Canis lupus familiaris: one gene and its partners. The protein of the gene in region 1 interacts with the protein of each later gene in a pairwise test. Links are inferred from orthologs where the notes say so. Each region holds a gene or a part of one and is shown on either strand. Other genes may lie near its edges.

Region 1 (3,560 bases):
GCCTGCCAATTTTCAGGATTTTGTTGAGCAGGTTAATGATACAATTTGACTTGTTTTACAAATAATCATTCTGGCTACTTTGGCGAGAAGAGACGGTAGGGCACAAGAAGTGACAGCATCTCTGGAGGCTAGAGCTTCAATCCAGGCAAGAGGTGATAGGACACTGGCTTAGAACAGGAAGTTAGCAGTAGAGGTCAAAAGAGGTGGGGAGCTTTGGATATATTTTGAAGGCATGGCCTACCAGATTTGCTGATGGATTGGATTTGGGAGAGAAAGAAAAGATCAAGGATGACTCCATGGTTTTGAACCTGAGCAACTATATAAGCATAGCACTGCTATTTACTAAGTTGGGGCAGCCTGAAGGGGAACCAAATTGGGAGGGAAGATGATGAACTCAGTTTTGGATGTGTTGAGTCAGAGCTCACTAATTAGGTTCCTAAGTAGAGATGTCAAATAAGCAATTTTGCATACATGGGTAAGCTCCAAGCCTGGAGGTCAGAGGATAGGTCTAAGGTAAGGATAAAATTTAGGAACAGAGAGCATGAAATTAGATGTGATCACAGTGAGTGAGGGAACACAAGAAAGATGAGAGGTCTAAGGAAACCTCTTCACCTTAAAGACATGGGTGTAAAGCTAAAAATCACAAGCAATTTTAAAGGTAAGGATTTAATTGGTCTGAAATGTAGAGAACTTTCCCTACCTTGAGTTGAGTGAGTTGAGCTCACTTCAACTCTCTTCTGTTCAAGTTAGATTTTTTGTTTAAAAGATTTTACTTATTTGAGAAACAGTGCACATTTGGGAGAGAGGGAGGGAGAAGCAGACTCTCTGCAGAGCAGGTAGCCCTACTTGGAACTCCATCCCAGGGTCCCAGGATCATGACCTGAGCCCAAGGCAGTCACTTAACCCACTAGGCACCCAGGCCTCAACCCGAGTTAGATTTTTAATTTTAAAGATTGTTGACTTACATGCAAATTTAAGAAACTCCAAGAAACCTCAGAAAACCCCTTAGGGGTCACCTTGGCCTATGAGTCTCAAAAATAATAAGAAAATCATTTCTCTAATGGCATAGCCATTATAGGTTTTACCTTAAATTTGCTTAAAAGCAAATATCAGTTAATTCATTTAACTAAGAATACATTAATACAATACAAAAGAAGTATAAAAAAAGTGTATTTGGAAGAACTGAGGTGTCTTGATATTCTCTTCATTCTGTACTGAGAAGATGGGGTAGGACTGTAAAGCAGAAGTCCCACCACACACAGTATCGGGTCACATGTTTCAAAAAGAAGAAACAGTAAAGTCCTTTTAAATTTCTATTTCAGTATTTTCCTTTCATGATACTTTCCAGCTTGGTCCCAAACTACCATTTAAGTTTTACAAGTTACCTTGAAAAAATTCAAATGCAAAGGAGTCGCTCAATTGCTCATTCTGCATAGTGCCAATACCAGAATACTGACTATGAACAAAACTGTGACTGTTGGGATTAGTACCGTTTGATGGTCCTGACTCATTTATCATACTGTTATCTGTACAGTTGAAATCAGATCCCTCAAATGCCTCTGGCTGAGGAACAAAAGCAGTAGTACTGGAACTGGCACCTGCTGGCATACTGGGAGAGGACATCTGATGGAGCTGTCTCAAGTCTCTTGGGTCTAACACTGAATTACATGAGGGGTTTTCGAGATTCATGCTCACAAGTCTCGGATTATCAGTCTCCCTCATGCTGTCATTACTAGGTGTTATCATAGTCATAGGGCAATTCGGCAGCATGTTACCATCAGAAATACCATATAAATCAGCTGATGACATGGACGGCGCTTCCATTCTGCCTATGTCATTCGCATTGTTATAAATACAAGCATTAGAGGCATTCAAATCACTCTCAAGAGGTATTTCCAGATATGGTGAGATACCTTGTGGATTAGAGGAGAGTGTCCCTGTTGAAAAACCACTCAATGGATTCGTATTGACTGCACGTGAGGTGGGGTGGGCCCCTGATGACCAGCTTGAAGAAGCCTGAGACACCATTGAAGGTATGGGTGAAGAATGATGTGACAGTGCATTTGACATGGACACAGACGAGGAATAGTAGGAATCTGCTTGACTTGAAATGCCTGAAGTCCTGGGCATTTCTGTCAAAACTGCACCATGAGAAAAGTTTGATTCTGTGGGGAGGAAAATGTTTTTTACAAAGTGAAACAAAAGTATAAAAAACACTATCTCTAAATTAAAATTGCATAACCACACTAAGAAAATTTTCAAGCAAACTGATGTAACATTTTAGAGAAAAATGTTAAATAGCACTAAAATTATTACATGAGTCCAAAGCTGAATTCTGTAACACTTAGTGTTTTACAAATACCTATAAAATAATTTTGGTAAGTTATTTTGAAATAGATAGCTTCATTCCAGTTAAGCATGAAAATTTAGCTTCTGAGGCCTTATAAAGGTATTTTTGGAAAGTGAAAAATAAATCAGAATTTCAGGGGTGCCTGGCTGGCTCAGTTGGTGGAGCACACAACTCTTGATCACAACGTTGTGAGTTTGAGCCCGCATTGGGCACAGAGATTACTTAAAAAAAAAAAAAAATCAGAATTTCAGTTAATGGAAATCTAAATAGCCAAAATCATTTCATATTCACTACTCTTAGGAGAAAATGGAGAGACGGAGGAAAGGTTCATTAGGGATGATTGAAAAATACACATAACTTGTTAAGATAAGCATCTGACTCTTCAGCTCAGGTCATGATCTCAGAGTTGAGATGGAGCCTAGTGTCGAGTTCTCCACTGGGCACGGAGCCTGTTTAAGAACTCTCTCTCCCTCTGCCTTTCCCTCTTTCCCTCTCCCACCTCTCTAAAAAGAAAAAAAAAAAAGATGTAATTCTAAGGTACTACAAAATTTCCAGACAGAAAAAAAATTAAGGATTCTGTATGTATAGTATAGGACTGCTATACATACTAAACCAGGAAAAAAGCACAGATTTAAGAATGTAAGGGGAAGAAAAGACTTCCAGTTAAATAACCCTGGTTCAATTATCTAAACCAGAGGTCTGCAACTTTTTTTTTCCCTGTACAGGGCCAAATATTTTATGCTCCGTGGGCCATACAGCCTCTATTGGAACTACACAATTCTGCCATTATAATGTGAAAAAAAGCAACCAGAGACAAAACATGTAATCAAATGAGCATGGTTGTTGTGTTCCAGCAAAACTTTATTTTTAAAGATGGGCGACTGGCTAGATCCAAACCATTTATTCCATGACACATGGTAATTAGGTAAAATTACCACCATATGAACAAATGTAATTTCTCAAACAATAAATCCCCAAAACATAATCATAGTTCCCAAAAGGAACTTAAGAAGCTGAGATCAATTCATTTAATATTCAAAGCACAAAAAAATTTGTGAGCCTAGAAAATAGCAAAGAAGCAGTTTTCCTTTCCTAAGAATAGAATCCAATATACTGTGCAAAGCACTGGTCTTTTGACCGTTAAGGAATACTCTCTATGGGGGATAAAATACCTTTTTTGATGAATCTTCCTTCTCCAGTTGATACTAGG
Region 2 (4,074 bases), on another chromosome or scaffold:
TGCCCCAGTCAGGGTAGGAACCCAGGCCAAGCTTGCGCCCAAAGTGGGCCTGGGCCTCAGCCAGGATGGGGGCGATAGAGGCCTCATCAGCGGCCACATAGAGCTCCCGCAGGTGGAACTGCACAGCTGTGTTTTGGAACAGCCCCTTCAGCCCCTCCAGCACCCTCCTTAGCAGCTCGGGAATGCCTGGGAAGAGGTAGACGTTTCGGACGGAGACCAGCGGGAATTTGAAGGGCTGGCCCGTTTGAGGATCTGTGCCGTAATGCAGGCGGGCAGAGGAGGGCACCAGAGACAGCTTCTCCCAGCCCTTCCCTCCTAGGGCTTTGATGGCTGCTTCCAGCTCCGGGTGTGGCTTAAGCTCATCCCCGAAGGCCTGTGCTACAGCCTCAAAGGTTACATCGTCATGAGTGGGGCCGATGCCCCCTGCTGTGAGGACGTGGGTGAAGCGGCTGGAGAAAGAAGTGATCTCGGCTGCAATCGTGGTGACCTCATCAGGGACAACAGAGACGCGGCACACCTGGACCCCCAGGGAGCGCAGTGTCCGGCACAAAAAGTAGGTGTTGGTGTCCTGAGTGTGTCCCTGAGAGATGAGATAGTGACAGTGAATATCAATGCGGTGGGGATGAAGGGCAAAGGGGAAAGGGTGACAGCTGCATTTTCCCAATGCTGGGGCACTGTGCTCTTTGGGGGGTACTGTCTTGGGCTGCCAAAAAGCCTGGACTGGGGGATCCCTGGGTGGTGCAGTGGTTTAGTGCCTGTCTTTGGCCCAGGGCGCGATCCTGGAGACCCGGGATCGAATCCCACATCAGGCTCCCGGTGCATGGAGCCTGCTTCTCCCTCTGCCTGTGTCTCTGCCTCTCCCTCTCTCTCTGTGTGACTATCATAAATAAATAAAAATTAAAAAAAAAAAAAAAAGCCTGGACTGGGCACAGGAGTGAGAAAATCCAGCTGAACAGTCAGGGGTAGCATGATCCACCCTGGGCCTTCTTTGCATTTGAACCTTGACCTCAGATATGCTTATGGATTCCACGGTCAATTCTATTGTGGATGACTCATCCACTACCTCACCAGTCCTGCCAGTTTCAATCCCCTGGCTCCCCGCACTTACTAGGCATTTCTACCATATTCCTGGCTGTTGTCACTTTGGTTAGTGGCATCCCCAGACACTGTCCATAGCCAGTTGGGCACTTCTGTTGTCAACGCTACTGAAATGTCTCCCCACTTCTGCTCTCTGTCCTTACTACCACCACGCAGGTCTTTGGCACCTTTTATCTGGACAGTGGTGACAGTCCCTGGCCAGGCTCCCAGCCGCCAGCCACAGTGCTCTGACCCAGGCCTCCTGACTAACCTTTCTAATGTGCTACTGTGATTGCACCACTCTTGGGCTCAAAAGCCATGTGTTGTTTCCAACCATATTCTGATTAAAGTTCAAATTCCTCTGAAGAATATTTGAGGCTGCCTGTCTACGGGTGTAGATCTGACGCTCTTCCCTGGCCCCATCTCCTTCTGCTTCTTTACAGGGGGCTTCGTAGGTAAGGGTTGCTCTGGAGGAAGAGAGAATGGGCTTGGAATCCCAGCTCTACCACTCCTGAGCTCTGTAATCTTGGGCAAACTTCTCAGCCTCATCATCTAATAACTGAGATTTATAATAAAAGTATCAAATCTCATGGGAATGCTCTAAGGATTAGTTAAGACCGCGTATTGATATAATAAGCACACTGCCAGGCCCCAGTAAGCACTCAAAAAACGGGTCAATATTAGTTATTACAAGCCTGATGCCATGACCTCTCCTAAGACTTCCCTCATTGTTCCGAGGGATTTCCTCCATCTAGTCCTCTCCTGTTTTGCTTACTCATGCACTGCACCTCCTTCACGGGATGGACTCCCGCTGGTTCCTGTAAAGCCCTCCTACCGCTATGAAAATGCTTGGCAAATTGTAGCAACTTTGCTGCAAGTTTTCAACAGAGTAACTGGAAGAACATGTTGGACCCACTACAGGGACGTGGTGGGCAAGGGGGCGCCCCCGGTCGGCCTCCCTCAGCAAGGTGCAGCAGGCTCTAGAGGACGGGCGGCGCCCACCCCCCCTCTCCGTCCCAGACACACCTTGAGGATCTCATCTCCAACAATGATGATGCCCGCCGTCACGCTGCGCCCTGGGGGAGGTGCAAAGGCCCTAGATGCCATGGTCCTGCCTTCTCTGCCCCTCTGCACGGCCCTCCAGTAGCCACCCAGGGCCCCAAATAGGGGTCGGAAGCAGGGGAGTCGCGCCAGGTCTACAGGGCACTGGGGGCCATAGCCTGAAAACAGGGGGGTCTGGGGTCAAGGGAACCTGGAGGAGCCAGAAGGGACACGGGGAGGGCATGAGGGCACGCTCTTCCTCAGAGAAAGACCTCGCCAGGCCCCTGACAAGACTTTTATCCCTGCCTCTAAGAATTGCGTTCTCAAACCCCAGCCCCGGCCTCTTCGCATGCCTTCTAAGCTCGGCTACAGTGTCCTTAAAATGTCCTGTTCTCCGAGCACCCACAGCTGAGCGCGGCCACCTGCACCTTTAAAGACCTCTTCTCTTCGGGGCACCTGTCCCTTTAAGCGTCTCGCCCCCTCCGCCCGGGACTGGAGCGCAGGCGCCCCTCCCTCAGGCGCCCGCACCCCTTCTGGCCGGAGCCCCGTCTCCCCGCCCCGCTGCAGCCCGCCGCGCTCTCCCAGGTCCGCACCTGCCTCTCGGGCCCTTCCCCGGCTCGTGCCCTCTGCTCCCGCACGTCTCGAGCGACATCCGCACGCAGAGTCCCACCCCAGACCCGCACCTTCTCACGGCGGTTGGTCACCGTGGCTGTCGCTCAGACGGCCTCCAAGGGCCCATTGGTGCAGCTGGCTGTCGCTCGCCCGCCTTAGCCAAGGGCGGGAGCAGCGCCGGTTGCTATCGGCGACAAGCACGTGGTCACCACCCGCCCGGAACTGCGGGGGCGGGACCAGCGGGCCTGGTGCGGGGGGCGGGGCCAGCGGCAGCGGTGCGAGGCGCTGCTAGGAGCCGCGAGCGGAGGCGTGACGCTCGCCTCCATCCCGTTAATACATCCTCGCGCGCAAGTGCTATGCGGCGCCCACTCTAGTTCTAGGCACTGGGGCTGCCCAGGGCTTCGGTAGCGCGCGCACGTTGGAGACACCAGCAAGGAACACCTTGGAAGGTAGGAGAACTTGGAGGTGAGCTTTTAGGGTGTGGAGCGCTCATACCCCTCTATAAAAACGATGAACCTACATACCTGACCCCTGCCTTGCTCCACAAAGTGGTCTGAACACCACCTTTGCCCGATTATTGGTCTTACAGGTAAAGTGAGGGCAGTGACTAGGCAGTGCCGTGTGTCCACTTTGGAGTCTCACATCCTGGATTATTCTCATTTCAGTTGCTTTTGGTCTAAAACTGCTTAAATTTTAATGTTTCATCCGGGATCTTTTTTTTTTTTTTTTTTTTTTTTTAATTTTTTTTTTTTTATTTATTTATGATAGGCACACAGTGAGAGAGAGAGAGGCAGAGAGACACAGGCAGAGGGAGAAGCAGGCTCCATGCACCGGAAGCCCGACGTGGGATTCGATCCCGGATCTCCAGGATCGCGCCCTGGGCCAAAGGCAGGCGCTAAACCACTGCGCCACCCAGGGATCCCTCATCCGGGATCTTTTTATAAAAAATATAAGTCCTCCCTGTGCCCAAGGTGCAGCTTGAATTCACTACCCAGAGTTGCATGCTCCACGGACAGAGCAGGCCAGGTGTTCCTATCTGGGACCTTCCTAATATGCTGATTAAATTTCCCCTATTCAGTTGGGGTGGGAGCCTGAGATCTGCATTTAACAAGCTCTCGTGCCATGCTGATGCTGATCTGGGTCCCTAGAGTATGTTTCCTGTAGTAAACATCTAAAACCCATCACTTGGAGAGCAGTTGAACCACATCCACCCTCATTTTACTCTTCTAAAGCCCAAGATAGATGATGCCCATTTTACAGATGGGCAGCAGGCTAAGAAAGGTTAAGGGATGCCACATAGCAACTACAAAACACTAATGTGAAAGAGCCAGGCTTCTAGACCAT
Region 3 (4,320 bases), on another chromosome or scaffold:
GGAGCCTCCCTCTGAGCCTGGGGGAAAAAGTGTGTCACTTGCTGCAGAGACCGGTCTCTGCCTCTCTTGAGGCATCAGGGCCACCTGCCAGGAACTTCAGATGCCTTCACATCGCAGGTCCAGCGTCTGACAGGAGCCCTGGGAGAGATGCTTTCTGTTTCTAGGCCCAGACTTTGGAACCCCAAACCTCCCTGGTGTAGACAGGACAGTGCCTGCACCCCACCACAACACTCAGGAATCTTATGGTCAGCGAGGCCCCCCGTGGGCTCCTCTTAGCCAGACCCTCCTGGGAAGGGTGATAAACACAAGTCCCCAGAGTGAGCTTGCTGGTGGTTTAGGAGGGGCCAGGAAATATCTATAAAGACCTAGGTTCCTTCTTGGAGTCTCAGGATCCTCAGCTCCAGGAAAACGCAACAGGTTAGCAGCAGACAGGACGTGAGCCCGGCGTGCTTGTCCCCGGCAGGAGCCTGTCCCTTTATCTCCCCCAGCTGCCAACGGCCCAGCCAGGCATCTGGGCGACTCTGCAAAACGGAGGCCGGGGCAGGGAAGGGACACTGGAGCAGGCTGCGGCCAGACGAAGATGCCACGGTAGGCGGCCACCCTCCCGGCACCTACCCGTGATGCCCGAGTCAGAACGCGACGTCTGCCCACAGATGCCTGTCCTGCCTGTCCCTGGAGAAGGAGGGTCAAGACAGGGCAGGGGCCTGCGGACATTCAACCCCTCCCCAACGGGCACCTTTTCGCCACCGCCCGCCCTGCCCACCGAGCCGGCCACGGCTGAACCTGACCCCACCCGGGGGTCACTCCCCGGAGTCACCTGGCCCTGCCCTCTGGAGAGCCTGCCGGAGCTCTCGTCCCTTCCACCCACCTCGGCCACCACGTTCTTCGACTAAAGTCTAAACTCCAGCCCGCGGGCTAATCTTCAATCTTGGGCCGAGCAGCGGTTGGCTCCGCGAGGGGGCCGGGTAAGGTGTCACTGTGACACAAGAAGTGCTAATCCCCCCCAGCCCGAGCCAAGGCCTCGCCAGCTGCCCTCTGCACCAGGCCTTACCAAGCCTCCCCGCAGCTGCAGCGCCAGGATCTGAACTTTGGCTGGGAAGCGGGACAACAATCGCTGTAATCCCGGGCCGCGGTCTCTGGGGCCCTGGGCTGGCTCCCTCCCGGTCCCTGCCCCCGCCTGCCCTGCCCAGGCCCCGAGCCCCGATTCTGCAGATCTGGTTCCTCCCGTGTGCTCGTGCGCCACTCCCCTGTCCCGGGAAGGCACCCTCCGAGCCTTCCTCAGCCTCTCTCAGGCCAAGCCTCCCCCCGCCGCGGTGGCCCCGGGCTGGGTCTGAGTTTGCACTTGGCCGAGGGTCTGGAAAAGCCCAGGTCTGCGACAGCAGGCAACTGCCGCCAACGGCCAATTAGCTGTGCTAAGCGGCCCGGGAGGAATTCTTTGCAGCAGCCTGCCACCCACTCACCAACATCTGCTCACCATTAGTGCCCCCGGCCCAGACCCCATTGGGGCCAGGGGCAATGGGCATGCACAGGTACACACTCACCGCCCCCCGCCCCCGCCGCCCACTCACACGGCTGCACTAACACTCGCAGACCCACGGGAGCGCACAGCTTACACAAGCCCGGAGACCCATGCCAGCATCCACGTGCACACACCGTTCACACACACAAACACACGTGCCACACCTCACGGTGCCCGGCGACAGAGAGTGGAGCCCAGACGGGAGGCGAGATGTCCCCACCCTGGCCACCACCCCTACTGTAATCCAGGAAAACCACCTGCAAACCAGCCAGAATGTTTTCACCTGCCCCCACCGCACCCCCGCTGCCCCGCAGCTTCATCTAACTCTCGGGGACCAAGGAGCAGGAGGGGCTTTTTCCCTGAAGGCAGTTTGTTTGGGGACCTGTGTGAATATGGGGCGGGCTGAGGGTCCGTGTGGCCACCCATGGGTCCTGCTCATGCAGCTGCTGACCCGCGCCAATGTGCCAGGCACCCAGCTTCGGGGGGCTGGGGACAGCGGGCAGCGTGTCCCCAGGGTCCAGGCTGTAGGAAGAGGGAGCTGGCTGCCCCGGCCGGGCAGAGTGGAGACCTAGAAGCTACAGCCGAGGGGTGAGGAGCTGCTGTCCCCACAATTGGTAGCTGCCTCCAGAGCTGATTCCCCACGATAGACGCCTGCAGGGGACACTGGCCAGACTATTATTCTCTGGGTCTCGGCTTCCCACGGTGCCTGGTAGGAAACGGGCTCTGGGCTGCAGGTGTAGCTGAGTTCCAGCCCCAAGTCCTCATGACCTCCAGCCAGCTCGTGCCCTCTCTGCTCCTCGGTGTCCCCATCTGCACAATGGGTGAGGATGAGACCTATGCCGCGTGTGCTCTGCTCCAGAGCCCAGCACCTGGGGCCACCCCACGTACCTCGTTTCGGCCGAGGGAGTTGTCCGGAAGGGAGGAGGTGATGCCCGAGAGGATGGCGGTGGCCACGATGGCCCCCACGCACTGGGCGATGATGTACATGACAGCCCTGAGGATGCTGATCTGGCAACTGAGCAGCAGCCCCAGCGTGACAGCTGGGTTGAGGTGGGCGCCACTAATGTGGCCCACGCTCTGGGCCAGGGTGGCAATGCTCAGCCCGAAGGCCAGTGACACCTTCACGTTATCCTGGGCCGCACCTGCTGTCTGGTTGTTCCTCACCGGGTAGTTGAAGCCCAGGGCAGAACCGATGCTGATGAAGACGAAGAGGATCATGGCCAGGAACTCGGCCACCACCGCCCTCCAGAAGAGCTTCTTCTTGAACTCGCTGGCCATGCTGGCAGGGGGCTTGGCTTGAGACCGCTGCCTGGTGCTCGACTCCCTCCGAGAGCTGAGCCACAGCCCGGGCTGGGCCTATTTATAGGGCCCGGGGGGAGGAGAGGAGGGGGGGGAGCACAAAGGGAGGAAGGCCTCTCCTTGCTCCTGGCCCGCCCCGCACTTCACGGGCCTCCTCTCAGCGATGGATGCAGACACAGCTCTGCTGTCGGCCTGCCAACTTTTTTCCCTCCCTCCTCTCCCCCCTCCCTCCCTCTCTCCCTCCGCCCTCAGCCCTGCCCAGCCCGAGGAGGCAGGCGGGAGGCAGCCACTGCTCTAATAGGCTTTGGGAAATTCCTCCAAGTTGGCCCCACTCAGGGGGCCAGAGAAATCCAGGTGTCCCCGCCCTATGTGCGGAGCTCAGGGGTGTCCATGGGCAGAGCCAGAAGCTCTGGATGGTGCAGGGTGGGTGGGTTGGACTCCGCAGGTGGACTTTGCCTTCCCGAGAAGTGGGGCACCATGATCCTGCTCGCCCGGCATCCCATCCCATCCCGGAGTGGCGTTATTCTGGACAGCACGGGTCCAGGGGTCCCCAGGGGCATTCTGGGTCTCCCACACCCTGGCCCAGGCCTGGCTACAAGATGTCACCTTAGGGATGCCCCAGGGGCCCAGCACCACTGGCCAGGCCCAGTTGATGGGGACACAGAGGCATTAGGAGGCACGGAGAGCTTGTCGGTGGCCCACCCCGCACTCTGTGGTCAAGGGCAGGCCCGAGATAGGCAAGTAGCCACTCTGGGAGCCCTCATTGCTCCAGAAGCAATTAGAACCAACGATAGCAGGGCAGGTGGAGAAAACAGAGGCAGTTCAGGATTTTCCTCTCCAGGGCTGCATGCTGGCAGACCCCAGGGGGCGAGGGAAGGAATGGCCAGGTAGCCTGGAGACGGAGGCAGAGACGAGAGAAGGAGAGAGGACACAAGACAAAGGGAGAGGCAGAGAGACAGAGTCAAAGGGCAAGTGAGACGAGCGAGATCTCAGGCCAGGCTGAGGAGGAGAGACAGCCAGGGAGCAGAGACGGGGAAGAGACAAACCTGACAGAGGAGACGCCACTGGAACCAGCAGAGGCACGAAGCAAGAGGGGAAAGGTGGGGTGGGTGGGGAAGAGGCCGGCCCGCAGACCCCTGCCCCCAGCCCCTGCCCTGCACGCCGCCAGCCAGAGGCCCGACAGCAGCCGGTAAGCTGTGCAGGCGCCCGGACTCCCCCAGGCAGGGGGCTCCTGCCGGCCGCCTGCCCAGTCGGTGTGCAGCGAGGGCAAGAGCAGCCAGGCGGGGCCGGGAGGGGGCGAGGCCAGGCCCGGGAGGGAGCGGCCCTCTCTGGGCCTCTCCTCCCACCTCCCGCCCGCCTCCCCGGTCCCCCACGGCTGTGTTGGCGTCTCCCCATTTTACAGCTGGCAGATCGAGGCCCAGCCGGGGAAGGACATCCCTGAATTCTGCACGCGCCCGGGGCGGGGCCAGGATGAGCCTGTGGCCCTTACGGCTCCCTCCCGA
Region 4 (4,000 bases), on another chromosome or scaffold:
GCAAACCAGAACAATTTAGGAACCTTGCCCTTGATACTGGATCTTATGAGTCTAGATTTGAAAGCAAGTTACTGAACCACTCTGAGCTTCAGTTTCCTCATCTGTGTAGTGGGGATAAAGATAAATTTGTGCCAGTCAAAGGAGTGTGTACAGGTAAAGCACTTAGCATCAGTCTTAGCTTGCAGCAGGTGCCAGAAAAATGTGGGCACTCAGCAAATGTGGACTGCTCGGAGCTCCAGACAGGGGAGTCTTTGTGGAAACAACCCCAGGCAAAGGTCAGCAGGGAGGAACTGCAAGAGAAGCCAGGGATGCCGCATCAGGCCCGTCAAGACTGGGGAAAGAGAGGGGCTGACCTGCTGACGCAGGCTCTGCCCACTGGCAGAGTTTGGGAAAGCTGTTGAAAGTTTAGGTATGGGTCTGGGGCTCAGTTCTGGGAGAGAACTGTCCCCCACTTCAATGGGGACTAAGGGAGCAGAAGGCAAACCCTGGAGGGGTGGGTTTGTGGGAAACTGTGAATGAGAATTTAGGATTAGAAGTCATTGTTAGCAAAGCCAGAGGATGCTATCTTGACAGCCATCCACCAAACCTCCTTTAGCTTTATGGATGATGTTTAAAATAAGAATGTGGGGTCGCCTAGGTGACTCAGTGGTTGAGCATCTGCTTTTGGCTCAGGTCACGATGCTGGGGTCCTGGGATGGGCTCCCTGCTGGGAGCCTGCTTCTCCCTCTGCCTGTGTCTCTGCCTCTCTCTTTAAAAAAAAAAAAAAAAAAAAAAAAAGAATGTGTTCATGTATTGATCACATAATGAAAAACAAATAAAAAGACGAAAAATCTCCAGTGTCAACAACTAAGGTGAGCGAGAGCACCAGCTATCATCATCGCCCACCCAGTCCCAGCAGGCACAAGGATCAGTTGAGGAAGTTTTTAGGGGGAGTGACGGAGAGTCACAATAACCAAGAAATAATAATTCTGCACGCTCAGCCCCTTCAGATTACCAGAGTTCCTCCTGTGAACCTCTGGGATGTGCCCTGAGGCAGGAGAAGCAAGGGTCACATCCCTGCTTTGTGGATGTGGGAAGGGAGGCTGGGGTGCTGGAGGGTCTTCCCCATGGACAAAGTAAAAAAGCTACAAGGCCAGGAGGAGTCCACACCTTCCAGTCTCAAAGCCACCCCACCCTTGGGACGCACGTCAAGTAAAAGATAAGACCACTAAGCAGGTGCTGGGAAGGGTCCAGAGTAACTTAATGGAAAAAATATCTTAACAATGAGGCCATACTGGGGCACCTGGGCGGCTTGGTGGTTGAGCATCTGCCTTTGGCTCAGGTCGTGATCCCAGGGTCCTGGGATTGAGTCCCTCATTGGGCTCTCCCGAGGGAGCCTGCTCTTCCCTCTGCCTTTGTCTCTGCCTCTCTGTGTGTGTCTCGGGAATAAATAAATAGAATCTTAAAAAAAAAAAAAAATCAAAACAAACAAACAAAAAAGAACAATGAGGCCAAATGGAGAAAGCAGCCTCTGGCAGCCCAACCAAGGTGGTTAAAACTAGGCTAAGGTAAAAAACTTAGAAGGAAATGCTCCTAGGCATGGTTGTCTAGATCTCTGGGACCACGGGTGACTTCTTTTTCCTACTTTCCTTTTTCTCCCTAATTTTTAAAACAACTAGCATTCATTTCTATTAAATAATGGGAAAAAATAAGAATAAACTCTTTTCACATTGTTTAAAGCTCTTTGACCCACAAGCATTTCCATCATAATTCACCCCCAAAGGCCAGGTGTCCAGCCCCTCCCAAGAGCCTAGTGTCAGGGCTCCCCTGAGGCCTCTGCCAGTGGGGAGGGAGAGGGTTAACCAGGGGACTCCCCCTCCTGCTTCTCTTGGGGACCCCTCCTTCAGCTCAAGACTCTCTGCTCCTGGAACCTCATCCTTTACCTGGAAATTCACCCAGCCCCCCCCCCCCCCCTTCACCTGGGACCCTTCTCTCCTTCACCAGGAATTCATCCAGGGTCCTCCTCCATGGGGGGTCTTCATTCCTCCCTGGAGGATCCTCCCCAGGGTGGGAGCCATAAAAGAAACCATAGTCTCCCCAAGTCCGAAACTTGCCCTTCTTTGGCCCAAAGTGTAAGCCAGGTAGGTCCGTCACCCCACTCCCCTAACGTAAAGTCACAGTTTCCAGGCCCTGCCATCTCCTAATCAAATTAATGCTGTGGCACCTAAGACCTGAATATGTCCCCCTTCCCCAGGGTGTGACACTCTCAGCGGCAGCTTGACGGACTGCCTTGAAATCCCCCAAACCCCTCCATTCCTCTTTAATGGAAACACCAGCGATGGGGAGATGGCTTCCCCCCTGGGGAGTCGGAAAGCCACAAAGACACCAAACAAACAGATGTTGCAATCCGGGCAGGAGATCTGCGGGGCGGTGTGCCCAAGGCTGCCGGGGACGGCAGCACCACCCCACCCCCAAAACCAGGGGACAAGGGCCGGGGACAAGGGCCGCAGAGGGCGCAGAGGGCGGGAGGGGAAAGCGGGATTTGGCCCCAGGGCAGCCCAGGGAAGGGTTCAAGGCCAGTGTCCCATACACGTCTGCCTCAGCAACTGGGCGCAGGGGGTGCGCGGGACAGGAGGCTCGCAAGGACCCCTTTTCCATCCAAACGCCGGGGCTCCAGCCCAGGTGGGCAGCGCCAGGCAGCTCCCCCCTCCCGAGCCTCCCGGCCGAAGCCCCTCACCGTGGCCAGCGCCTCCTGCTGCGGGGGGCTCAGGTCCCCGACTCGGCCGCTCATGGTGCCGCGGGCCGGCGGGGGGGCGCGGGGGTGCCAGGAGGGCGCCGGCCCGCCAGGCCCGCAGCCGCCGCGTGGTTTTGTGCGGGGCTCAGATGTCGGCCCCGCCCCAAGCCGAGAGCGCCGCCCCGCGCGTCCCGCCCCCCACCCCGGGGTGTCCGGCGGGCGGTGGACCGGGCGCGCCCCACGCGGGGCAGGGAGCCCGGAGAGCGGACTCGAGGGGAGGCCGCAGGCGCCGCCACCTCCAGGCCGCCTCGTGCGGGGGCTCGGACGGGGTCCTGAGTGGAGGGGAGGGCGGGCGGGCCTGCGGACCTGCGGGCAGCTTCGGGGAGCACACCCGGCTCTCCTCCCCAGCAAGCTGGAGGACCTGGGGCTTCCTTTTAAAACTTTCTTTTTTTTTTTTTTTTTTAAGATTTTATTTATTTATTCATGAGAGACACAGCGAGAGGCAGAGACAGGCAAAGGGAGGAGCAGGCTCCATGCAGGGAGCCCGACGTGGGACTCGATCATCACGTCCTGGGTTGAAGGCAGGCGCTAAACCGCTGAGCCACCCGGGCTGCCCAAGGAACTGGGGCTTCCTAAACCAGACTCCACCCTCTAGATGTGTCCGGGAGTTTCTGCCCGAGGGGCCCCAACCTCCCTGCCCTGGCCTTGACCACTGGCTAGGAGCGCCCTATCCGTGCTCACAAGCTGATGGAGGCCTTTATGTGCAAAATGGTTCCAGCTCCAAGATGGTCAGAAGACTAGATAAGATGATCCGCCATGGGTTAGCCTGGCATTCCACTTAAGTGTGCAATGTTAGGACTTTTTTTTTTTAAAGATTTTATTTATTATTTATTCATGAGAGACACACAGAGAGAGAGAGGCAGAGACACAGGCAGAGGGAGAAGCAGGCTCCATGCGGGGAGCCCGACGTGGGACACGATCCCGGGTCTCCAGGATGAGGACTATTGTTCCATAATAATTACTATGATTGATGCCTTCACCAGAACAGGGAGGGGCTGCATAGGTGGAAATTCTGGGATGGCCCCTCTGGTAGCACCTGGGTAGAATCTATAGCCTGAAGGCCAGGGCATGGGAGGGGACAGTAGTCACTGGAAGCCCCGGTGGGGTGGTGGAAGGCTCAGGAGACCCCGGGTGGTGGGTGGCTGACACAGGTGGTCAGGATGACATCCGGGAATCAGGCAGGGTTCGCTGAGAAAGGTGAGAAAACACAGGTTGGCAGGGCAGGAA
Region 5 (4,264 bases), on another chromosome or scaffold:
TACAGGATTCCTAGAGTCTACACGGTTTCTTAACTTTTCTTCGGGGGGGGCGGGCGGGGAAGGGGGTCAGGAGGTGGGATGGTATCACTTCTTTAAAATGTGATAAAAATCTCCCCCCCCCCAGAAAAATGTACTTATCCCTATCCTAAATATTGTGCATTCAACTGAAGCTGCTCCATGGACCTATCCGAGTTACAAACCCCTGTCCTACACTTTCCCCAAGAGTGCCTCCCCATGGACCATAGTCCAAGGAAGGACCCGGTGCATCACTAGATTTTAGACTAGCTGCATACCTGGGAGACTCTGGGCCACGCCGTGAAGCAGTCCATGGGGAATTTCGGATGCTGACCCTCATAGTACAGTTGGCCATCATCTTTCTTGAACAAAACAGCCAGTGCTCCTTCAGTGATGCTGATATCCTCAAGTCTGACCTAACCATCTGGGAGCCTTGGGGGTGGGGGTGGAAGAAGAACATTTCTAGGGTCCACTCTGGGTGCCTTTGCTCAGGCTTTTCTCCTCGTGCCTATATTCCAGTGCCACTGGTCAGAACCATGCTTTCACGTCGATTTTTAGAACAATGCAGGGAAAGATGAGAGAAAAAGAGAGGGGAAAAAATAAAGTTCCATTCATTCTTCAAGCAAATGTCATCTCCTCCAAAGATGTTTTTCTAGATTCCTGGAACTCTTTTGGGTGGAGGTGAAGGGTCTAGCGTGGAAGAGGAGCTCAAGGTATAATTTATTCATTCATCCCACAGCACGAATCACTCCACGCTGTAACTAACTCTCCCCGTCCCCGCCCGTCACAAAATTTCATTCTTTGACGACAGCGATTCTGCTTTAATTAAATTGGTATCCTCAGGGCTCTGTTCTTTGCCTTGAAGGTGGGCATCTACCTGTGAGTGCTGGAGAACTACGCGGGACGGCGACCAGGGGTTTAGGGAGATCGCAGTGGGGTAATGGCCGGTGCCCTCCCCCCCGCCCCCTCCCCCCGCCCGCGCGCACCCCCAGGCTGCTCCTACAGTCCGGCAGCCGAGCCAGGGCGAGTACCCTAACGGGTGCTGCCCTAACGTTCTGGACTCCAGGGCAGTGAGCGCATCTATTTAAAGTGTTGGTTTAGTTGCTGGCTTTCGCCTAGTCGGTGGGACCGGGTTGACTCCCCAGAGCTTAGCACAGAGTAGATGCTAGATAAATCTGTGATGAGCGGATGCATAGAGGGGTGGCTGCACCGGCGGGTGCGTAGATGCGCGGGGGTCTCTGCCTCCCCCTCCGTCCCCCCCCACCCCCGTGAACGACGGTCGGCCCGGCCAGGCCCGGGAGCCGCGGCGCCGGGGTCCCTTCCCCGGGCCCCGCCCCAGCCGACCCCACCTTTCCGCGCCGCCCCGCTCCGCCCCGCCGCCCCCTTCCCCGTGGCCCCTCCCCGCGCAGGTCCCGACTCCCGCCGCACCTCCTCCGGCTCTGCAGTGGCGGCGGGGAGGCGAGCCGGAGCGCCAGCGGGGCCGGGGCCGGGGCCGGAGCCGGAGCCGCAGCCGAGCCGGGGTCGGGGCAGCAGCCGGGACCCTCAGAGGCGGGGCCAGTGGGACTGCGATGGGCGTGGAGATCGAGACCATCTCCCCGGGAGACGGTACCGGGCGGCGGAGCCGGGGGAGGAGGAAGGGTCCCGGGGCGGAGCCGGGCGGGCGGGGGTCTGGGTCGGAGGTGGCGCGGAGGGTGAGGACGCGGGGGCGGGCGCAGGGTGGGGCGGCGGGGGAGACCCCAGACTGCACTGTCGGAGCTCTGGCCGACGACCCTCCGCCCCCCTCCCCGCGCCGGCTCACCTAGGGCGTCGGAGGCGGCGGCCGCAGGCGGGGGTCTGGGCCCGCCACCGCCCCGGGGGCCTCGGGCGCCGCCGCCGCCGCGGGAGCCCCTCAGTTGTCTGCCGCTGCTAATTTCCCAGGGCAGGGGTTTGGCTCTGCTCTCCCTGCCCTGCTAGGTGAGCTCCGGGGACCGCTGGAAGGGTTCCCTTCTTGGGGCAACCCGTTTCCAACGCGCCCCCCTGAGGGCCTCGGCTCCCGCGGCCCCCGTGGGCTGGGCGGGGAGACGTTGTGGGGGGACCGAGCCCGTCTGCGAGGAAGAAGCGCTCCCTCCGCCGCCTCTGCATCCTGCTTTATCCTCCCCGCCCCACTCCGCCTCTCCAGCCATCCTGTACACTCCCATGGCTTTCATTACCGTCTGCAAACCGATGGCCTCCAAACTTAAGCCTCCAGCCCAGATCTCCGACCCATTTATCCAGCTGCTGCTCGACCTCTACCTGGATGTCCCATGGAAACCTAATTCAGCGAGTCCAAAACAACTCGAGCTCCTTGTCCTCCCCACGCCCAAGCACTCCTCTGTATTTCCCTTTTCCCTGCCCCCCCCCCCCCCCCCCCCCCCCCCCCGTCAGGAGCGGCACCACTCACTTTCCCCAGCCAGACATCTCTTGTATAATTGGGTCTGGATGTGCAAGGAATAGCTTATTTTAAAAAATTTTAAATGACACTTAATCCAGTCCAGAGCCCCCGTTTCTGCAGAATTTGACAGACAAACTTCATGTGAGACATGTCTGACAACCCCCACCCTCTCTAGGAAATTGGAAGACCTCTTGGTTCTAGGCCACCCTCCTTGTTAAAAGGCAGTGGTCCCTAGAGGTCCCAGTCCCGATCCCTGTCACCCTGCAGGTACAGGCTTCTTTGCCCCCACTGAGAACAATAGTGCTGGGTCCCAGGAAGCATCTCTCTGAGACCTTGTCACACCCCAGGGAAATTGCCATTGAGATCTCCCAGGGAGCTGGAGGCCTCTTCTCTTTTCCCCTGACTCAAAGTAGCCTTTAGAGTTTTCTCTGCTTATCCTCCCTTTCTGGCCAAGGACAAGGGCCATTTTCTTTTGAGGGAGATTAGATTTTTCGAGAAAGCCTGAAAAAACTTTGGCCTTCTGCTTTAACAGTCTAAACCCTTGAGTCAAGAAGGCATAGAAGGGCCAAGCTACTGTATTGTTAGGCTGGGGGCACCATTCTAAGTGAAGCCCCGCAGCAAGTCTGGTAGGACTTGGTCCTTCTGCTGAAATTCTCTAGGCTACATCCGTTTAGCCCCTGCCCTGGTTCAGATGATGGTCTCTCATCAGGCTTTCTGCACATCCTCTACATTGGTCTCCACACATCCAGTCTGACCTCTCTGCCTTCCATCTGGCCTCCCTAACTCACTACCTATTTTCCACACCATAGCCTGAGGAGTCTTTAAAATGCCTATTTTAGGTTCCCATTCCCTTCTGCTCCCCTCTTACCTTATCCCCGTGCCTTGTGCTTTAATGAATCTTCCATTTTCTTCTCAGACAGATAGTAATCTAGCCTGGTCTTACCTTCCACACTAGGGCAGTCTCTTACTACAGCCCCTACCCCCACTACCACCTTTTTCTGTAGCTTCAGCAAGCTTCCTGCAAAGTTGTTAAAACACATCAATCATTCCGCAAATATTTATTGAACATGTACTATGTGCTAGGCCCTGGGGTTAACAGCAGTGAGCCAGACAGGGATCCCACTAGTGCTAGACTCCAGGCCTTTGAATGTGTCATCAGTTCTTCCCAGATTATCTCCTTTAACTTCCTCTGGCAAACTAGTCATCTCTTAAGATCTGGTTTAACCTTATCTCCTCTCTGATGCTTTCCTGGACTCCCACAGAGTCCTCTACATGTTGGCTCACTTGTTTGCCTCCCAAAGATTTGTTATCCAGGCCTGTGGCTTTAAATTCCACCCAGATTTATACCTCCAGTGCAGACCCTCCATCTGCCTACTTGCAATATAAACTCAGATGTCTAATAGGCATTTCAAGACTGCCAACTGCTCAAATCTGCTCCTCCCCAGTCTTCCCCACCTGGAATTAGTTCGTTCCACCATACGTCCAATTGCCCAAACTGAAAACCCAAGCATTGTACTTGATTTCTCCTTGTCCCTCCTCCTGGACCCCATCTCCGTTCCATTAGTGTACTCTGTCAGCCCCGTTTCCCAAACGTATCTATTTTGCTCTCTTCTCTGCTGCCACCACGTTAATTCAAGCCATAATTGATTTCCTGTCTGGATTATTGCAACAGGCGCCTAATCGTCCATCCTACAGGCAGCAGCCAGAGTGATCTTATAAAATCTTAATTCAGATTATGTCATCCTTTTGCTTAAAACTCTCCAGTGCCTTCCTATTGCGCTTGGAGTTAAATCTAGCTCCACGATGTCCAATGTCTGGCATGATCTGCATGATCCTGCT
Region 6 (3,560 bases), on another chromosome or scaffold:
CAGACACAGGCAGAGGGAGAAGCAGGCTCCATGCACCGGGAGCCCGACGTGGGATTCGATCCTGGGTCTTCAGGATCGCGCCCTGGGCCAAAGGCAGGCGCCAAACCGCTGCGCCACCCAGGGATCCCAGGACTTCTAAGTTTTGATCCAGTCACCTAATAAAGTCTCCCTGGGCCTAGGACAGCTAGAAGCCTGGTCCCCTCCCATTCCCACCAAGCACGGACACTCACTCTGCTGGTCTCTCTTCTCGTGTTTGGAGGCCTTGGGTGTCTGCTCCTCCTCGGAGGGGACTGTCTCCAGAAGGCACGCCGTGAACTGCTGCAGCACCTTCAGGTCGGCACCACCATCCTTATTAGCCGCCCAGATGCAGCCGATCTTCACAGGCTGCAGCACACGGAACCTCTTCCCCTTAGCCAAAAACTCGTCCCACTCTTTGGCCTTCAGTTTCTGGCGAACCTTGTGGTTCTCTGGGTCAGCACACTCCTTGCAGGTTGGAGAGCAATGCTTACTCAGGGTGCCCAGGCCCCTGTGCTCTCGCCTCCCGCCTCCCAGACACCAAGAGGAAAGAGCTTGCTCATCCACCATCAGGGCTGCTGCACCCTGCACGTATCAGAGCTCCCATTGTATTCTGCACCCCTCTTCCTAGCATTACCATCTGGGAAACAGCAGTGTTTTCCTAGACTCCATGGAGACAGGCACTTATGCCCTGTGCTGTTTGTTCAGGATGCACCGTCCTCTCTGGCCATGACTGGCAGTCTCAGGTACTCCCTTAACCTCACCAGTAAGCCACTCAAGGCCACTCTGGATTTTCTGGGGAGGGTGTGATGCCAGGGTCATGCAATCAGCAACCCCAAATCCCACGCCCAGTTCACCCTCAGGGCTAGGCCCCTCCCACGCTCCAATACCGCTCTCAAAGACAGAAGACTCATGGGCTCCACAGACACACATATGAGGTATCCCTCCCCCTGCATCTGATTTGGAGAGACAAAACCATTCCCCCAGTCATACTTCCAACATTTCTCCACCACCCAAGCACTGCGACCTGAAAAGCTGTCCGAACCCTAAAACCAGCCTATTGAAAGTTTCACCATCTGGCTGAGTCTGTCTAGAATGTTGGTGGCAAGGGTAGGGGGATGCCTCAAAGGGACATGGGGGAACCATCTGGAGAGATGGGAAGTTCTAGATTTTACTTTTGGTGACAGATTTACAAATGTCAATCATTAAAACTTGCTGTGCTCAATAATTAAGATCTGTATGTTTTCTTATACTTTCATCATGCCTCAACTAAGAAACCATAAAAGGAAAAGGGGGTTTAGCAGTCTGACCCACACACCTCCCAGCCTCTCTGACTCAGCCTTCTGCTCACGCGGTCACCACCCCGGGAGTCTCTCCTACCTCTGCAGATCCCACTACCCTCCCCAGTAAAACTTAAGCCCAGGTCCCTACAACCCCATAGATGACTACTTGTTGGGGTCGCAAACAGGCTAGCAGCCACTAAGCTCAGTCCGGCCGAGCTCTCTCAGGGACAGTCACCTCCAAGCTCATGCCTCACCTCAGTTACTCCCTCGTCCTCAGACAGGTACCCATGGGGCACGAAAAAACCATCATCCTCATCTTCATCCTCTCCTACTTCATCATCATCATCCTCAAAAAAAAAAAAAAAAGTTCATAATACATAGCCAACAGACAAAATATGTCTCATTTAAAATGTTAACCTGTGGGGAATCCCTGGATGGCTCAGCGGTTTAGCGCCGCCTTTGGCTCAGGCCCAGGATCGAGTCCTACAACGGGCTCCCTGCATGGGTCCTGCTTCTCCCTCTGCCTATGTCTCTGCCTCTCTGTCTCGTGAATAAATAAAATCTTAAAAAAAAAAAAAAAAAAAAAAGTTAACCTGCAAAAGAAAAAAAAGGTTAACCTGCAAACATCTAAGGAATGAAAAGCCATCTACTGCCTTGGGCATCATTCTTATGGACACCTCAAGGGTTGGGAGAAATCCCATAGATGAATCCCATTATTTGACACTGACATGGGAGTCGGGTCATGGGAACACAGGCAAGCATGCCCCACTTAACAGGGTAGATGCTGCTTGGTCCCACTGCCAAGTGGGTTAGTGTCACCAAATAGGCTTTTCAAGAGAAGTTGAAAACCTAGTTTTTCTTAACTTATTTTTTCAAAAAAAATATTTATTTATTTATTTGAGAGAAAGAGTGGGAGAGGAGAGGGAGGGGCAGAGGGAGAATCTCAAGCAGACTCTGAACTCAGTGCAGAGTCTGCCATGGGACTCCATCTCACAACCTTGAGCCAAAATCAAGAGTTGGACCCTCAACCAACTGAGCCTCCCAGGTAGCCCTGAGATCTGGCTGAAATTTCAGATGACACTGCGGCTCGAAGGCTGGCTGTGAGTGAACTCAACCTAGGGCCTGCCTTGGCCTTCTGGGGGAAACCACAGGTGCAGGTGTGTGCTTACCCCCTCACTGTGGGACAGGGACTCGCCCGGCTCCTCCTCTTCCCACTCCTCGTCACTGTCCACCTCATAGTCCAGGAGCTTCTGAGAAAACAAGGACGCAGGGCGTCATGGTTGTCTTTCAGGGGTGGCAGAGCAGAAAAGCTACAATGCTTATGAAATCCAGGAGACCAGTGCAAAAAAGGCAAAATGAGAAGGAAATGTAGAAAGGCAGGTGAGGCTGGACCACTTGCTCACCCTGTCTTGGGCCCAGGGGTCCCTCGGATGGATGACGGTTGTCTTCTTATTCCACGTTCCCCAGTACGCTGGTCGATGATTCTCAGAAAACTGTAGGAGCTTCATCCTGCCAAACTTCTTCCTCTCAGGAACACCCTCGACCTTGCCGCTCTCCACGATCACCACATCACTGAGGAGGAAACCCAATAATGTGCCTGTTCTACAACCCACCCGCTGACCACCCAGGCTTCCCAAGAAAATAGGCTATCAACATTTTACCATGATGGGTAACCAACCACCTGCTCCCAAGAAAGCTAAGGGACATTTATTCCAGGGACACAGAGCAAGGAGGAAGGAGAAACAAAACTGCCAAGTTGCTGGCTCACAGCATTTACAGAAGTGGGGTCGTGGAGAGTAAGCAGATCAAAGAGAACGGTGAAATGTCCTTCCCAGGAGGCCAGCATGGAAATAAGATCCCCCCTCTGAGAGACCAGGAGGCCAAGCCAAGCAGTCTGCACTCCATAGCAGTGGCTTTTGGCAAAGCCACTGCACATGAGACTTCAGAAGCTCAGGGGAGGCCAAAAAAGCAAGGTCTGAAGGTTCAGGCCTTAGGTCCAGGATGGAAGACAACTAGCCCTTGGCCACGATGAGCCAGCAGCGGGCCTAAACCCAGAACTCTGCCTTGGGCCCTCCAGGACTTTCCAACTGCGCTCTGATTTCACCAACAGGCAAAAGGCTGTCTCCCCACCCACTAACCTGTTATAAATATTCGTGTTTCGATTTGAAACCACGGTGGGTCCGGACCTGAGGGGCTGACGGCCTTTCAGATCTTTCAGGAAGGAGAATTCGCCACTCTGTTGCTGGAGGAGCTGGTCCAACT
Region 7 (3,560 bases), on another chromosome or scaffold:
ATGACTCGTCTACATCATGTCCACTCCTATACCCGGAACCATCACCCAGGGCCCGGCTTCTTGAGCTGAGTTAAATGGACAGCTCTTGAGCGCTCACCATGTGCTAGGCCCTTCCCCAGTATCATCTCATGTGACTCCCACTCTCTTCCTCTGCCCCACTGGGCAGATGGGGAAATAGGCTCAGAGGAATCGGAAGTCTTGCTTAATTAGGGCCACAGAGCCAGAGAGGTGGGATCTGGGCCCCAGTCTGCCCAATCCTAAGCCTGTGTCCCCCACTCGTCCCCTGCTGAGCTTTCAGGGTCACACGCACGGGGCCCATCTCACCGGGACGCCATCACGAGCCTCACACATCTGCGACACCGAAGTCTGGAACTCGCCGATGAAGTCATGGCCCCCGTCATTGTCATAGTCGTAACACATGACCTGGGGTGGGTCCAGTGAGGTCACCTCAGGGTAGCTCCCAAGGAGGTGCTCTCAGACCCTCACAGTTGCCTGAGCAAATCCCACATCTTCCTTTTGCTGGTGCCTCCCCCTGATCCCCAGCATCTGCCTTGCTGGGATGATGCTGTTAGCTCCTGAACTGCCTCCTGCAGGAAGCCTTCCCTGATTGCTGGGAAAAGGGACACCCCAGCAATGGAGGCTGTACACTCTGGAGCAGGAAGCTTGACTCCCCACACACCTGTCACTCAGCTCCTCATCTGTTTGGGGCTGTGGCCCACTTGCCTTCGTGGGCCATGGCCAGGGGCCTTCCCTAGGGATGTTCCACAGGGCAACTCTGGACATGCCTTTCATTTCCCTACATTGTTACCTTCCTTGAGATAGGCACAAAAAAATCCCAGCTTTCCATGCCCTCTAACTGAGCTGCCACTTCTTGGAAGAAGGCAAGAATTAACCATACCCATTCCACTGATGGGTAAACTAAGGCTCAAGAGGGAAGCACTTGCCCAAAGTCTCACAGCAGCAGTAGGAGACCAGAACTGGAATTCGGGTTTCCTACTACCCCATTCAGGGATCTCTGCCCCGGCCTCACTGATCTCCTCTCCCCTATCTGCATCAGACACGGTCCCGGAGGACTGAGGGTTTGTAGAGACCAGTAACCAATGTCCTCATCACAGTGACACTTGGTTGCTTCCAAGGTGCTTGCATACTCGCTCTCCTCGGTGGCAGCACCCCAGCCCTCTGGGAAGAACCGGGTAGTCATTCTGTTCCTGTTTCAGAGAAGGGCTCACGGAGACAGCTGCCCAGATGGCTCAGGGGGTCAGACATGTGAGACGAGAGCCCAGGTCCCCACCTCTCCCCTTACATAGGTTTGCTTTTTCCATCTTAATAAGGAAGAGCTTTGCCAAGGCGTCCCCAGAAAGCCGCGGGTAAGCAAGGAGGCTGGAGCTGGCAGGGTGGGGTGCAGGGCCCCCGAGCCCCCTCACCTGGATGGGCTTTTCCATGTCCCCATCACACAGGGACACCAATGGCACAGTGAACGGTTTCCACACAGGGTCCAGCGTGTACTTGATCACCTGCAGCACAGCGAGAGCCACGGGTGAGGGCAGGTCCAGGGCAGCAGTGCTCTGGGGTTGGGCCAGTCCTGCAGGTTTGCGGGTGGCAGGTACAGAGGCCCACGGCCACACCTCTGGGAGGGAAGGGAGCATCCCCGTGGCAGGGAGGGATGGCGCCTTGAGGCACCATAATGGCTTTGCCTGTTCACTGCGTGGCTGTGACCTTACAGCCCGTCCTGACACATGGGGGTAGCCAGACTACAGACCCACGGACTTAGAGACTCCCAGCGCCCTGTGCACCCACCTCAGTCCTGTGAACCAGCATCCACTTGCCATCGTCTCCTGGTTTATAGAACTCCAGAAATGGGTCTGACTTTCCAAAGAGGTCCTGGAGGAAGCAAGAGGATGTGTGTGAGGAAGGTACAACTCTGCCGTATTCAGATGAGAGGTGGGGGGGGGGACCCAGCTGCCTTCCCCAATCCAGCCTCAGGAGTGGGAGCTGCGAGCAAAGCCAGCCCCCTGGGGCCAACCAGCTCCCCCAGGAGAAACCACCTCATCCTGGGGTTACCAAAGCCTGTGCTCAGAGACCTTGAGACCTGGAGCCTGCAGGCATTATAACTTAGATGGGGCAGGACTTCAAAAGGTGATAGTTCCTGCAGCAGGATGTGATTTTAATTTATTTCGTGGGAATCTGAGAAACTGAAACTATCTGAGCATGTCACAGAAGGGATATGATATCCTTTAAAAATCCATTTTAAAACAAGTATCAGGTAATATTCAGGGAAAAAAACATCCCAGGCAGAGGGAACAGCAAGTGCAAAGGTCCCGAGGCAGGAGGATGCTTGGTGCAATCCTGCGACAACAAAGAGGCTGATTTGGCTGAGGCAGAATGATGGTGGGAAGAGTAGTGGGAGTGAGGTGAGGGGGCACTGTGGACACACCCAGTGGGGCCCTGTAGGTTACTATAATGATTCTAGCATTGACACTGAGTGAAATAAGGAGTCCCCAGGAGGGGGTTTCCAGTTACGTCTTAAACACCTCTAAATAATGGTAAACTCACTACTTCAGTGGTAAAGAGGTCCTAATTTGGCATGGCCTGAGCTATGGACTGCTTCCTGGATGGGGCGTGATGAAGGTAATGGCCAGAAGCAGCAGGACTAGGCCCCACGAGCCTGGGCTGGGGGAGGGATACTGCTCCCTGATGGAGAACCCCCTTCTCGACTGCCTTACCTTCTTGTCCAGCTTCCTGCCCGCCAGACTCAGGGTGATGACCTGGTTATCGGACAGCTCCTGGGCAGCAATCTGTGAGGCCAGAGGAATGTGAGGGTCGGGACCTCCCATCTGACCCCCTCCCTCCCTACCCTCCAGCATCCTGCCAGACAGAGTGAGCACAGGTACTCAGGAGTCAGCTCTCCAGGGCTGGGAAGGGGAAAGGAGAGGAGGGGTAGTACCACGCGACCCTGCCTGTGGCTCTCATCTTCTCAAAACCTCTGTTTCTACCAAAGTAAACTATCTGAATAAGAGAATCAGCACTGCTCATGATGGGGAAGCCATTTGAGGAACCCCAGATGAGGGGTGGTCTTGAGCCCTGGGGAGCATAGCTACCTCAAAACGCCAAGACACTGGGCATTCCAGGAACCTTACTGTGTAGCTAGGGAAACTGAAGCCCGGGGCAGGGGCAGGAGTCACCTGAGCTCCCTCTGCTGCCTTATCATCTGTCCCTCCATGCCTTTCCTCTCAGCCATGGCCTTTATGGCCCATCCCAGCCAGTGATGGACCAGCTGAGTGACCCTGGGGCTACCCTTGCCCTCTCTGGGCCTCTCTCTCTCATTCTCTACTCTCCTCACAGAGGGGCAGGGAAAGCCCTCAGGCCAACAGCAACATATGTGGGCTGGGTTCCTCTTACCTCATGCCTATTGGACAGCCTCACCCACAAGCTACTGGACCTTCCAGAACCACACACAGGCCAGGTTGGACACTAGGCTCCCCTTCCTTTCCTCCATCAGACTTGCTCAACAACCTTGCAAGGGAGATCCTATTACTGCCCTCATTCCACAGAAGAAGGAG

Evidence for each region.
Region 2: the proteins of REL (region 1) and FLAD1 interact in binary tests that used the Homo sapiens proteins (3 or more experiments, as listed by UniProt). The two-hybrid records come from large-scale screens. The link is inferred for Canis lupus familiaris from reciprocal best matches to the Homo sapiens genes REL and FLAD1.
Region 3: the proteins of REL (region 1) and AQP1 interact in binary tests that used the Homo sapiens proteins (3 or more experiments, as listed by UniProt). The link is inferred for Canis lupus familiaris from reciprocal best matches to the Homo sapiens genes REL and AQP1.
Region 4: the proteins of REL (region 1) and SEC14-like protein 4 interact in binary tests that used the Homo sapiens proteins (3 or more experiments, as listed by UniProt). The two-hybrid records come from large-scale screens. The link is inferred for Canis lupus familiaris from reciprocal best matches to the Homo sapiens genes REL and SEC14L4.
Region 5: the proteins of REL (region 1) and FKBP1B interact in binary tests that used the Homo sapiens proteins (3 or more experiments, as listed by UniProt). The two-hybrid records come from large-scale screens. The link is inferred for Canis lupus familiaris from reciprocal best matches to the Homo sapiens genes REL and FKBP1B.
Region 6: the proteins of REL (region 1) and CHAF1A interact in binary tests that used the Homo sapiens proteins (3 or more experiments, as listed by UniProt). The two-hybrid records come from large-scale screens. The link is inferred for Canis lupus familiaris from reciprocal best matches to the Homo sapiens genes REL and CHAF1A.
Region 7: the proteins of REL (region 1) and CPNE2 interact in binary tests that used the Homo sapiens proteins (3 or more experiments, as listed by UniProt). The two-hybrid records come from large-scale screens. The link is inferred for Canis lupus familiaris from reciprocal best matches to the Homo sapiens genes REL and CPNE2.

Annotation. Positions count from the first base shown.
Region 1 is NC_049231.1:62,308,466-62,312,025, reverse strand, and holds part of REL (proto-oncogene c-Rel), read right to left. Parts: coding exon 3,523-3,560; intron 2,166-3,522; coding exon 1,375-2,165; 3' UTR 1-1,374. UniProt on the Homo sapiens protein: Proto-oncogene that may play a role in differentiation and lymphopoiesis.
Region 2 is NC_049228.1:42,478,538-42,482,611, forward strand, and holds the start of FLAD1 (FAD synthase), read right to left. Parts: upstream 2,804-4,074; 5' UTR 2,712-2,803; intron 2,330-2,711; 5' UTR 2,185-2,329; coding exon 2,104-2,184; intron 581-2,103; coding exon 1-580. UniProt on the Homo sapiens protein: Catalyzes the adenylation of flavin mononucleotide (FMN) to form flavin adenine dinucleotide (FAD) coenzyme.
Region 3 is NC_049235.1:43,684,816-43,689,135, reverse strand, and holds the start of AQP1 (aquaporin-1), read right to left. Parts: upstream 2,829-4,320; 5' UTR 2,798-2,828; coding exon 2,408-2,797; intron 1,035-2,407; exon of another isoform or gene 616-1,034; intron 522-615; exon of another isoform or gene 1-521. UniProt on the Homo sapiens protein: Forms a water channel that facilitates the transport of water across cell membranes, playing a crucial role in water homeostasis in various tissues.
Region 4 is NC_049247.1:24,017,908-24,021,907, forward strand, and holds the start of SEC14-like protein 4, read right to left. Parts: upstream 2,832-4,000; 5' UTR 2,771-2,831; coding exon 2,717-2,770; intron 1-2,716. UniProt on the Homo sapiens protein: Probable hydrophobic ligand-binding protein; may play a role in the transport of hydrophobic ligands like tocopherol, squalene and phospholipids.
Region 5 is NC_049238.1:18,594,498-18,598,761, forward strand, and holds the start of FKBP1B (peptidyl-prolyl cis-trans isomerase FKBP1B), read left to right. Parts: upstream 1-1,457; 5' UTR 1,458-1,583; coding exon 1,584-1,620; intron 1,621-4,264. Other genes in the region: WDCP (WD repeat and coiled-coil-containing protein), read right to left, coding at 294-475. UniProt on the Homo sapiens protein: Has the potential to contribute to the immunosuppressive and toxic effects of FK506 and rapamycin. PPIases accelerate the folding of proteins. It catalyzes the cis-trans isomerization of proline imidic peptide bonds in oligopeptides.
Region 6 is NC_049241.1:55,654,926-55,658,485, forward strand, and holds part of CHAF1A (chromatin assembly factor 1 subunit A), read right to left. Parts: coding exon 3,437-3,560; intron 2,871-3,436; coding exon 2,702-2,870; intron 2,549-2,701; coding exon 2,468-2,548; intron 1,646-2,467; coding exon 1,553-1,645; intron 484-1,552; coding exon 231-483; intron 1-230. UniProt on the Homo sapiens protein: Acts as a component of the histone chaperone complex chromatin assembly factor 1 (CAF-1), which assembles histone octamers onto DNA during replication and repair.
Region 7 is NC_049223.1:58,519,244-58,522,803, forward strand, and holds part of CPNE2 (copine-2), read right to left. Parts: intron 2,796-3,560; coding exon 2,724-2,795; intron 1,882-2,723; coding exon 1,798-1,881; intron 1,515-1,797; coding exon 1,425-1,514; intron 424-1,424; coding exon 325-423; intron 1-324.